2 linked regions of the Drosophila melanogaster genome follow. The protein of the gene in region 2 interacts with the protein of the main gene of each other region in a pairwise test. Each region holds a gene or a part of one and is shown on either strand. Other genes may lie near its edges.

Region 1 (3,853 bases), on a different chromosome or scaffold from region 2:
TTTAGTTAATTTAGTTTTTCTTATTGTTTCATAGTCGTAGGAACCTTTGCTTCAGTTGTACTTTTTGACTTTTCCCAGTTGCCCGAATCGCTTTAGCAGTTCAGTTCCACCAGGAAATTCAACAAATCCAAAATGCTGATCTACTATATTTATAGTGTGCTTGAAGCCATTTCGTATGCGATCTACACAACAGTGGCCACCATTTCGAGCATTGAACGTAAGTGTATCGCTCACGACCATGTTCGCCTTACTCAATCGGCACGACCCGATCCACAGAGGCCCTAATCAACCTGATGATGTCCACATTTCTGTTTGTGCTTGGGATAGCGTGTCACCCGGTAATGGTGATTCCCCTGATGCTGGGAGGCTACTATATTCTACGCAACTGTTTGAATCGTCGGACCAAGGCGCCAAGGCTGCAGAGTTCCGTGGATGGCGATGCCGGACTGATCACGGCAGGACCACGTAAAGTGCCACGTTTTCCCTCTCATCGCAGCCTCGCTCTCGGCGTTGACGCTCCCAAGGACAACTAAAAATGAGGATATTCTTGGGTACATACGAGTAGTCTCCTAACTTACAGACGTTAACAAATACAAAAGTGGGCGCTCCCAAAACTTGGCTACATACAAATGCTGCGGATATTTTATTGTTATTCGGTTTTCTCTTTTGATATCCTTGGCATTGATAACTATTGTTCTATGACTATGACTATTGTTTATGGTGAAGTTATTAACGCTATGAATACTGTACTATGAATCACGGTTTTAGCAAGCTACTGGTGTCCACTTTACGCAGCGCCTCTCGTGCCTTAATCAAAGTGACGTTGCTTGGCTGAGTGACGAGCCCGGCTAAGTGCCGGATGTACTTGTCAATGTTGCCAACGCTGGGACCACTTGGCTCCAGTGGTGGCATCGAGATTCCGCCGAGAGCTGCGACCAGTTTCTGGCGCAAGGCGCGCAAATAGGTCTCCAGGCGTTGGTTCTCCTCCATGAGCTCAGTTACCTCGCCCATCACCTTGGCGTACCCGGCTTTCGTATTATCTACGTGCTGTTCCAGCACAGCGTTCTGCTGCTCCAGATCGGTCTTGGCCTTGCGCAGCGTCCTCAGCTCATTCTCCGTGCTGCGATTGTGTTCGATGAACTCGTTGGTGTAGATGGGTATCTCGCCGGGCTGCAGCGGTCGTGGTGCAGGTGTCGCAGGTGGCACGCTGCTGGGAGGGGGCTGTACTGGAGCCGCTGGCGGTGTGGGAGGCGGTGGTGTCTGGGCACGCTTCACCTTGGCCAGAGGCACATCATCCGGATCCTCGCTCTGCCGCTTAACCGGCTTTGCCTTGGTCTTCTTCGCCTTGCCCAAGGCTGATTCACCCTTCGGCGTCTTTTCCTTGGGCGAACCATCCAGTTTTGTGGCTTTCTTGGCTTTGGCCAACTCGTTGGCCACAATTTCGGGGTGTTCCTTGAGAAACATTTGCAACTGCTCCTGATATCTACGAAAATGGGAAGATATGTTTAGATTTTGTGGGTTGGAAACGAAGTGTGAGCTTACATGGCCTTGTCCTTGGCGGCTGCCTCGATGTAGGGCAACTTGCGCTCCTCGGGCAGCTGATGCCACTCCTCGCCGATGATCCTTGTGTGCTCCAGGGCAGTACGTTGTGGCTGCTCCCGTCGCAGTTCCTCGCGTCGATCGTTCATGAAGCGGACGTAGCCATTAAGTGGCATTTTTGGAGCACCGGCTACGTTGATCCGGCGCTGGGCCAGCTTCTTCAGTTCGGAGCCGATGTCGGAATCCGAGTGGCGACCCTTTGGATTCTTGGCTTTCTTCTTTCCCTTGGCCGGTTTGTCCTCGTCGAAATCTTCAATGGTCGCCGTATCCATGGATTGGGAGGCGATGGGCAGTGATACGGGTGATTCCGGAACCGCATCCGGTGTCTTGCTCGTTGGTTCCGTCATTTCTGTTTAACCGTACACTCTATTGCATTTAAAAATTGTTTATCTTTCTGCAAAATCACAGGTATGTGGTTCGTAAGCAAAAACTGGTTCAAGTCTATAAACAACTTTTTCGAACTAGTTCCGAAACAAATTCGCTTTTGCTGGCGCATTAGGGTGGCTCTATTTATATTCTTTAAAAAATATATTTTTCGAGCTTAGCAAAATCTTGTTTAAATCCTAGTTCAGTTTGGAGAAAAACAGAGCTGTATTTCGTCTTATTAATGAATAATATACTAATAAATAAGGTGCATATATTTCAGAGCATAGTTGTGGTTTTATTTCACCTATCCGCATTATCTGCAGTCAGTTCAACTCACTTTTTGTAATATATATATATTTGGTTAATAAAAACAAAATGACTCATATGCTTACACCTAAAACTGTCCCATCATCTACGCAGAAATTGCGTCATAAAAAAGTGGCGTGATGCTAGAGAAGTGGCGTGATTAACTATTTATCATACGCAGTTCAAAGTTCTGTTTCGCCTAGAGTAAACAAAAACAAAGAGCTTGTTGTTTGGTTTGGTTTATATTTTGAATATTTTTTAGTCAAATGTTTTTTTTTCAAATTCTTTGAGCACAATACATACATATAAGAGTAATCATAAGCCTATGTGGTTAGAGATTGTTAAATATAAATGGAAACCTACAGCTAAACTTAGCGCTCTAACTACAGTATCATATATAAAGCCTTCGATTATGAATTTATGTACAGCCTATCAACTAAAAAACTTAAACAAACGGCGGCCGGCCAAACTTAACAATAAAAGAGAGACAGAACGAAGTTTTCAGCTTGAAAAACTCAGATCAAACTGGGAAACAGCTCGTCAAAGTTGCTCTCCCAGGGGAAATCGTCCTCATCTGCGGGCAGAGTGAGAGCCACGGATGTGGGAGAGCCCAGTATGGACTCGTATCCATGGTCCGAGGTGGCCGAGTGTAGAGACAATGCGGGGGATTTGGCCAACGGGGAGATCGCCTTAACGCGCGGACGTAGGAATCGGTCGATCGGATCGAAGCTTTCCTCGTCGTCCGAATTGTCGACGGCGTTCATCACGTTGAGATAGACCTGTGACGGAGACGTCGCTGGCGGCGGACACTTCATGATCACGTCCGTTGAGTCGTCGCCAGCGCTGACGCCGTCACAGTAGATCTCCTCGACGGCCTCGTTCACCGGCACCGCATCCCCGTCCATCACGATGGTGATCGAGTTCGTCTTGGCATCATACGTGCCGTACACTGTGTCCGGAGTGGCCTGTAGTTGCGAGGCGGCCGCTGTCGCTGTGATTGTGGCTGTTCTCGAGGCTGGCGCTGCTGTGGTATGCTGTGGGTTTCCATTTATCTTCAACATCTGCACATTTAGGCTGACCTTGTGCTCGGTTTCCTGTTCCTGCTCAACATTCAGGCCATTAGCTCTATGCCCGTCGGATTCCAAGCGCTCTGCTGCGGGCCCCACCATTGGTCCAGGCAATCGCTCTGCGTTGCCTGCATCTTGGGCAGCAGCTGGGCTGCTCGCTCCAGCGCCTGTTTCCAGGTCTGCTGTGATATCTGCGAGCAGACTTTCGGCCAGCTCTTCGAGGCGCTTGACGTCGAACTCTTCGTCGACGCCAAGCATGTCTTGTAGAGTAGGCAGAGGGCCACAACTTTCCAGAGTGAGGCCAGGCTCTTGCTGCTCTTCAGCTGCTCCGCCAGCAGACGCGCTGACGACTGTGTGTCCACCTGTTGTATACCCTGCGGCAGAGGGTCAGCTTTGGATGCTGCAGATCCAAGGTTGGTGGACGCACAGCCCTCAGCGCCTGCGCTGGCGTTGGATTGGCTGATGCATCTGGTGTTGTGCTGCTGTTGCTGCTTCAGTTCGGCGAGTTCTTGGCG
Region 2 (7,929 bases):
TATCTAACTTAATCCAATGTTGACTCGGCTATGTGATGTAAGTCTGAATAATTAATTATTGCGCGATGTAGGAACTCGTATTGTGCCTAGAAACCATATAAACATCTAATTAATGCATTGACAATAAAATATAAACAAATTCACTTACGTATGAGTTGATAAGTCCCGTTCGCTGAGATCGTAATTTCCTTGTTGTGGCACAGATGTCGACACACTTCTCCAGCCTCAGATGCTGGACCAAAATACACATGGCGACGAAAATGGAACTTCGATCGGTTCCCAGGCTGCAAATAATTTATAATTGATTAATCCGTCAAGTGCATGAATCAAAGCATCGCCGCATACCTGCAATGAACTGTGAGTGGAGATCGACAACCAGAATTCTTGTTGTTCTTATAATGGTTGTATGCTTGATCTACAAGTTCTATAATGCCACGGCAGACTTCAGGAACTTCTCCGTCCACGGTGGGCCAACCATTGTATTGAAATTGTGTGACTTTCAGCGTATCGTCTATTTTGCAATTCGTAACATAAAATTCGCGGCGAGTATAGTATGGACAACTTTCGCTGTGCACGTATTTCACGAGTATGTGATCGTATTGAACCTCATCATCTGCCCAGTATCGCGGGCATTTCCTGGGACCATCTCCGATCTGCAATGCAATTAAAGCACTCAGTTGAATGGGAAACCAATAAAGTAGAGAGGGCACTACTCACTTCGGATATCATGACGAGGGTGGTAACACTCTGTTCCGAGATCATTCGCCAGAAGTCTCCTATAGTGTTTTCAAGTGGATCCTGGGCAATGATGAAGGTTTCGCTATTATCATAGCCCTCTATGAATGATGCGTTAATGTAAGTTGAGTTTTCCCGCATCGGAAGTGGTGTTAGTATAACCTTTAATTGCACAAAAACATTCACAAACATTAAACACAGTTCGCATAAAAGTTAGCCACTATTACTTACTCTGTTGCGATCGTAGGGTATAATCTCTTGACTTCTGTTCTTCATATTGTTCTCCTCGTTTTCGCCCACACTACATGATTTACTTATCTCATCTGCTGTGGCCAGTAGTTTCTGAAATAAATAGTAATAAGCAAAACGCCTGCAAGTAGATAACAAACTATACAAACCTCGAATTCCACTTCCAATTTGCATTTACCCTCGTTGGGTTTCCGCTTAAGAGATTCAATTGCAGAAGCCATTGTATCAATGCAAATATCCGTGTTTCCAAAGGTTCCAGTATCTAATAAAGCCCGGTAAAGAAAGATGTATTGTTTCTGCAAGCAAAAAGAAAGTTATTACAGCAACTACGAGTGGAATTTCCATATCTACGCACCAGAGATTGGACTAAAAAATTTCGTTGGTGTCGTAGATCACACACTGTGTTGTAAATGGACACCGAGTCTTCTTCCTCCAGCTGTTGGATTAGGGAATCTAAAGCCACCAGGGTTCCGGTTCTACCCACACCAGCACTGCAATGCACTAAAATTGGACCCCTTTGCAGGGAGTAGACGGAATTGATTTGACGTATGAATTTGATGATGCCATGTGGATGCTCTGGTGCCATGAAGTCCTTCCACGTTAGGTAGTGGTATTGGGTGATTTGTCTACGGTCCTCCTCCTCGCCGACATTGGCTTTGTTCTTGGAAACGTTCAGGGTACGTTCAATATAATCACCAGTCTTACGTTCTTGTGCAAATTTCACTAAAATATCTCCGAACTGTTTCGTATCAAATACTTTTTCTGGCCAATATTTCGCGCACTTGGCCTTGTTATATTCCTCCAAATTTGTAAGCATCACAATTATTTCTAGATGTTGTTCCCAAATCATTCGCCAAAAATCATCGATGGTACTTTCCATTGGACCCTGTGCACAGATAAACTTCTTTCTCTCCTTGTAGCCAATTACGAAGTTAGCATTGATGTAGTCCGTAGTTTGCAGGCCATTGATGACAGCCAACTTTACGCGCGTCTGATCGTAAGCCTTTATATCGGGATACCTGTTCTTGCAGGCGTTCTCCTTTAAATCACTGTTTTTAGTTGTCCGATCGCTAAAGCGATTTGGCAGCATCTCATATTCCCGCAGAAATCCGTAGTCAGTGTCCTTATGTCGGTTCTTGTAGGCGTTTTCTAAATCTAATCTGTGAATGGGGCCAGCGTCGAATCCTTTGTGATTTCCGGAAGTTATAAAATGACTGTGGTTGTGATTTCGTCGACCGAACAATGCCCTGCTTGATGTGAAGAAACAATTGAATATTAATTGAAATCACATCAAGAAGATCAAACAATTACTAGTTACCTCAAAGAATCTCTTAGTGTTAAAGTGTCTTCGCCCTGCAGTTCATTCTTGGTTTTCTTGTGATGGAAAACCCACAGCACAATAAATACAAGTATGACACCAAGTAATACGGCTCCAGCCTTGACCCCAATGCTTAGGTAGTAGTCCATATTGTTCAAGGATTGGATGGGTTCAGCTTCAGTCGCCGGAGTAATTATATCAAAGTATTTGCTATAAGCCATCAGGGCATTGTTTCGATCCCGAACTGAGGAAAATAAACATGATATTACCATTTTGCTTTCAAAAAATCAATCATTACGCACCTATTATCTCTAGGAATCCGGTGTAGTTGGAGTTAATATCTATCTCACCATCGAAGACATCTCGACTAGAATCGTGGAGTGGCACATTTGGGTTGACGGCGCTTAGAATTGGATTCTCATCGCTGGTCACCGCGTTTCTTTTATCCCTTAACTTACTTTCTAAGATTTTCAGAGCATGCTCTGTTAAGTTTGCTCCTTTGATCAAGTTGTCCTTCTCCGACAAAATGGGCAGTTCAGAATCGGAATCTAAAGAAAAGCACATTAGTTTCAAATAAAAAAAAATAAATAAAGTTTATATTAATTACTTGATAGTGAACCTTGTGGGGGTATGTGAATGATCTCGGGTTTCCTCAGAAATGGAGTACCCTCCAAGCATTTCCGACAAATTTCGTCGTTGTCGCGGATTATATCGTTGTTCTCACTAAATCTCTTTTCATCGCCCAAGAATATTTCCGGCCTAAAGTACTTGCTACTTATCATTTCCGCTATATATGCACTACTTCTAGTCACGTTATCGCTGTGAACCTCCTGATATGTGGCGATGTTTAGCTTCTCCGGGTCCGGCAATTCCTTGTTGTCATTGTTAATTCTAACTAGATACAATCTATAGCAGCATATGGGCCCATTGCGTTCGCTGATCTTCGGTAGATACAACTTGAGAACGTACTTGGAGTCCAGGTTCACCTTTGACCACATGGTACGGCCAATGGCATCCGGCGTGGAGACGGGCATTAGACAACTTCCGGTGGCCGGTTCGCCGTTCTTCTTGTGCCGCGTTATGGCAGACACCGTCACCGTGTAGTTTGTGTTCGGGCTAACACTTTCGTAGAGGGTCTTGTGATGGGGTTCATCGATTCTTCGAATCTTTGGTCCCCACATCTCTCTATCCACTGTGCTCATGGGATTGCCCAGCAAGTGAATTAAATATGACACAACCTTGCCGTTTGGCGTCTTGGGAACGTCCCAGTTAATGGCGATGGAGTTGCCTCTCGTGACGTTGTCATGATGACACTGTATGCTCAAGTTGGTGGGTTTTGTTGCCACGCCGTCCATCGTTGTGCCGTTCACGTTTTCGGACCATGGTCCACAAGTCTTGGTTAGATCACTACATGCCCTTACCCTAAATTCGTAGTCTGTGGCGGTCTTAAGCTTATCAAACATGTATGGCAAGTTTCGAGAATTCTGCTGGTAAATGGCCTCTTCGATCACTTTGGGCACCTCGCCCGATTCGGAGACAATCAGTTCGTAGTATTGTATATAATCAATGAGATCTGGCGGCGGTGGATTCCAGCCAATCGTTATCGTGGACGCCGTGCTGCCGGTGGTCTCGACTTTTGGTATAAATATGGGATCATAACTAAGCGTGGTGATTCCCTGGGGATACTGGGTGGGTTGGCCATTGCCAATCGAGTTCTTTCCCACGATTCTTAAAAAATAGGTTGTGTTCGGCTTGAAATGGTCCAGAATATACGATGTATGGCTGCCGTTAATAAAGTCCTTATGATAAGTAAAAGTCGGTGTTCCAGCCTCCTGCAGAGTGATGAAGAACTTCTGAATTGGATCGTTGCCGTCGTTAACGGTCCAATTTAGGTATATTTTATTAGCACCAACTGCCTTGGCGAAATCAATGCTAACTTGTGGCACTTCCATTACGAAAAGGGTAATCTCTTTGGAGGTAATTTCGAGTCCGGTGTCATCGAAGACGGTGCACTTGTAGGTGCCATTCTCTTTCTTGTAAACTTCTGTGAATTCCAGGGTGAAGTTTAAGTGCGTATCGTTTAGCTTCGAAATGGACGAGAAGGTGTCCAGGAATTCAAACTGGCTGCCGTCCTTAAGCCACTTGAGGTTTCTATTAGTTGTCTCATTTTGTGGGTACATCTCGATCAAACAGTACAACATGACATCCTGCTTGATTTTTCTCTTAATCCTATCGGGGGTACTTTGCAGGACTTTGGATGGAAGGTATGGCCTAACTTGGAATTCAGTCGAATGGTTTTGCCCCGTTTGGGCTGTGCATGTGTAGTTCCCCGAGTCCTTTATATTGACATCGAGAAGCGCCAGGACATTCTTATACTTGATGAAGTCTTGACTATCGTTGTTTTCACTGCCATCGTCGTTGGATTTCAATGGCTCAGTTCTTATTTTATATCTGAAAAGATCGAAAAATGATCAGATTATTATGTTATTCCATCTTTATGGGGGCAGAAATATTTTTAGATGCTTGTGCAATAAGTTACTAACCTTGTATGGTTTTTATTAATAGTTTGGTTGCCCAGCTTCCATGCTACTGCTTCGTTTTCAGATGCGCACTCTAGAGATACGTTTTTACCTATTTCTGCCCACTCTGTAAATAAATTTCATTAAAATAATTATCAGTTTTGTATATAGACGTAATTATAGAAATTACACCGATCTAGTAGCAACATGCTTCTGTCAGCCTAAAAATATGTTAGACTTAAAATATATCTTCCTGATTAATGGTTGTGTATATTTAAATCTGATTATAGCTTCCGGGTTTTATGCGATTTAGTAAAATATTCAAATTAGAACTATATTGAAGGAAAATTTCTTATTTAACTTTCCTATTAAATTTTAAGTTTTATGATGGACACCAAGAAAGGTTTTTCTGGATGGGCGGTAAAAGCCAGACATAAAAATGAAACTACACCCACAATATTGGCCATAAAACTCGCGGTAGTAATCCGGCGTAATTTCGGAATCAACACGTATTTAGCTGAAGAAATATTACAAATATATATATATGTGATTATATTTCAGATAAATCAGATAGATGTACATAAGTATGTACGCAGAAACATAAAACGTATGTATGTACCGGGAAGTGTGTACATATGTATGCGCGACTACTTTTGTTTAGCCCCAATTGAAATCTCACCCCATCGCCGTAATCTTTGGGCGTTACCGACATAGTTCGAGTGCTACTGTATCTAAGAACTATACAACCGTCTTGTTAACCACCATATCAAATGATAATTCCAGTTTCCAACTTAATGTAAAACACTCCATTCACATTTGCAAAAACAACACAAAAAAAAAATGAGACATTGCAATTTGTTGACACCCACAAACGGTTCTTGATGTACGTATGTATGTACCAATTATGATGTTCGTCTGAGTTTTTGAAACATTACCTTGTTTCACAGATCCTTGCACACATATCGCACAAAGGAAAATATATGCAAGAATTATATTTAATAGCATCGACATGCGTCGGTAGAGTAACGCCATGGCTTGCTAATTTCTCACTCCGAGCCGGATAAATACATATGTCAAAAATTATATTCGATGTCTGCGTTGAGTTAAAAAGCTCTACTGCGTTGAACTAATGTCGCGGCGAGTGCAAAACACCGACAAATGTGTTTTATTAAAAACCAGTTAATAGACGGCGACCGCGAATAAGTATTAATCGTTATTTTCTTAACACTGGATTGTTTTTTTTTCGCGATATGCGGCGTTATCGATAAGTCAGTCGAATATGTACCCTTGGCTGCGGTTACCAAGGGATTTGGAACAACTGAATTGGAATATAATCGTATATTATAATAATATAATCGTAATCGTATTTATTAACATGAGTAATTAATAAGACACAAGTATTTATTTATAGAGCAGTATGACATTAATTGTTACTTAATTGTTGCAAATTTATAATTTATTTCTGGAATGCATTAATTCATTTATTACTTCATATTCACTTTTATTACGATTCCGTTTGGTAGCCGATATATTTTACAATACCAATGAGCGTTGCTATCTTAGCACACGATACAACAGTTCACCGCAACCACCAAATTCCAAGTAAACTAGCCGGCATTGTTTGTGCGCGTTTTTTTTTGCAGAAAACCACCAAAAACACATAAAAACATGAAATTAGTAAGGTATGTTATGCGTCATTTACCTAAACTAAAACTAAACTTGTTAGCAATGCGTGCAGTATAGTTTCATTCAGTTTTTGAGTTCTGCGATTCTGCACACATGTATGCATGCAAAAGCGATGCTCCCATTTGTTGTTTTTGTACACAAAATTTAATTTAATACGAATGTTGTTTTGATCTGTTATTATAATAGTTTTCCATTATTTACTTGTATCTGGTAACAATTCTTGCACTTTAAGTAGCATTTTGCATAACTATATTCAATGCAATCAACGCTCTTAATCCAAGGCCACCAAATACAAGCTACCTTTAAATTCGTACTAATTTGCTAAAAGTAAAGGCTCTACTAAGTATATTTCATCATAAAGGCTGCTTGCATACACCTTATTGTATCTCATTTTTCAATCACCCAATAAGATATTTGTTTCTACCTATAATAGCCTTGCATCTCTGAAATGCTGCATCTTTGCAACAGGGATTTCCTTAATTTCGTTTACTAATCTTCCCGTTGATGCATTACAGATTCCTTATGAAGCTAAGTCACGAGACCGTGACCATCGAACTGAAGAACGGCACCCAGATCCACGGCACCATTACCGGCGTGGATGTGGCCATGAACACTCACCTGAAGAGCGTTCGGATGACGATCAAGAACCGGGATCCCGTCCACCTGGAGACGCTGAGCATTCGCGGCAACAACATCAGATACTTTATACTGCCGGACAGCCTGCCGCTGGAGACGCTCCTCATCGACGACACCCCGAAGTCGAAGACAAAAAAGAAGGACAGCGGCCGCGTGGGAAATCGCGGCAGGGGCAGAGGCGCCCGCGGACGAGGTGGTCCACGGGGTCGCGGAAGGGGCCGAGCTTCAGGCCGACGTTAATCTTTGTAACAGCTACATCTAATAAACAATATTCGATAAATATAGAATATAAATATTCTTTGGATAAATCCACACTGTATGCATTTACTATGTACGAACAACTGACAAATGTCTTCAGCTAGTAAAGAAACTCCATCTGAATATGTATATTGTTAAAAATCACTCTGTGTAGTAGCTCAGGAAAAATGTGTTTACTTGGCAACAAATTGAAAGAAGACTCCCGCCATTAAATTATGATTAAAAATGTTTGAAAGTTTGTAAAAACGCTTTTTTATACTTTTAATTGTTTTTGGACGCACAAAATGTCTTTCAAATGTTCAACAATAGTAGGAGAAAACTGTGTTACTTAAGCTAGGCTATAGATTCAAATATATTTACTACTGCCATTAGGATGCGTGGTGAACAATGAAACAAACGACAATGTTAAACCCATGAAATGGGCATCGCCTTAAAACTGGTTAACTTAAGAGATTCTACTTTAAGTAACGGATTGGAAAACATATCAAAAGAAACAATAGATATAGGGATAATGGAGTAACCCTCACT

What was found.
Region 1: the proteins of Ptp69D (region 2) and Hmg-2 interact in a two-hybrid assay, tested with the Drosophila melanogaster proteins (one study listed by BioGRID).

The regions. Positions count from the first base shown.
Region 1 is NT_033778.4:21,144,394-21,148,246, reverse strand, and holds Hmg-2 (high mobility group protein 2), read right to left. Parts: upstream 2,045-3,853; 5' UTR 1,947-2,044; coding exon 1,543-1,946; intron 1,484-1,542; coding exon 757-1,483; 3' UTR 639-756; downstream 1-638. Other genes in the region: CG15657 (uncharacterized protein), read left to right, coding at 133-217, 277-533; Xbp1 (X box binding protein-1), read right to left, coding at 3,383-3,853.
Region 2 is NT_037436.4:12,733,077-12,741,005, reverse strand, and holds the start of Ptp69D (protein tyrosine phosphatase 69D), read right to left. Parts: upstream 6,062-7,929; 5' UTR 5,854-6,061; coding exon 5,757-5,853; intron 4,949-5,756; coding exon 4,846-4,948; intron 4,754-4,845; coding exon 2,910-4,753; intron 2,851-2,909; coding exon 2,605-2,850; intron 2,547-2,604; coding exon 2,303-2,546; intron 2,235-2,302; coding exon 1,340-2,234; intron 1,281-1,339; coding exon 1,134-1,280; intron 1,078-1,133; coding exon 967-1,077; intron 898-966; coding exon 718-897; intron 654-717; coding exon 346-653; intron 285-345; coding exon 149-284; intron 87-148; coding exon 9-86; 3' UTR 1-8. Other genes in the region: small ribonucleoprotein particle protein SmD1, read left to right, coding at 6,490-6,503, 7,023-7,383. UniProt on the Drosophila melanogaster protein: Possible cell adhesion receptor.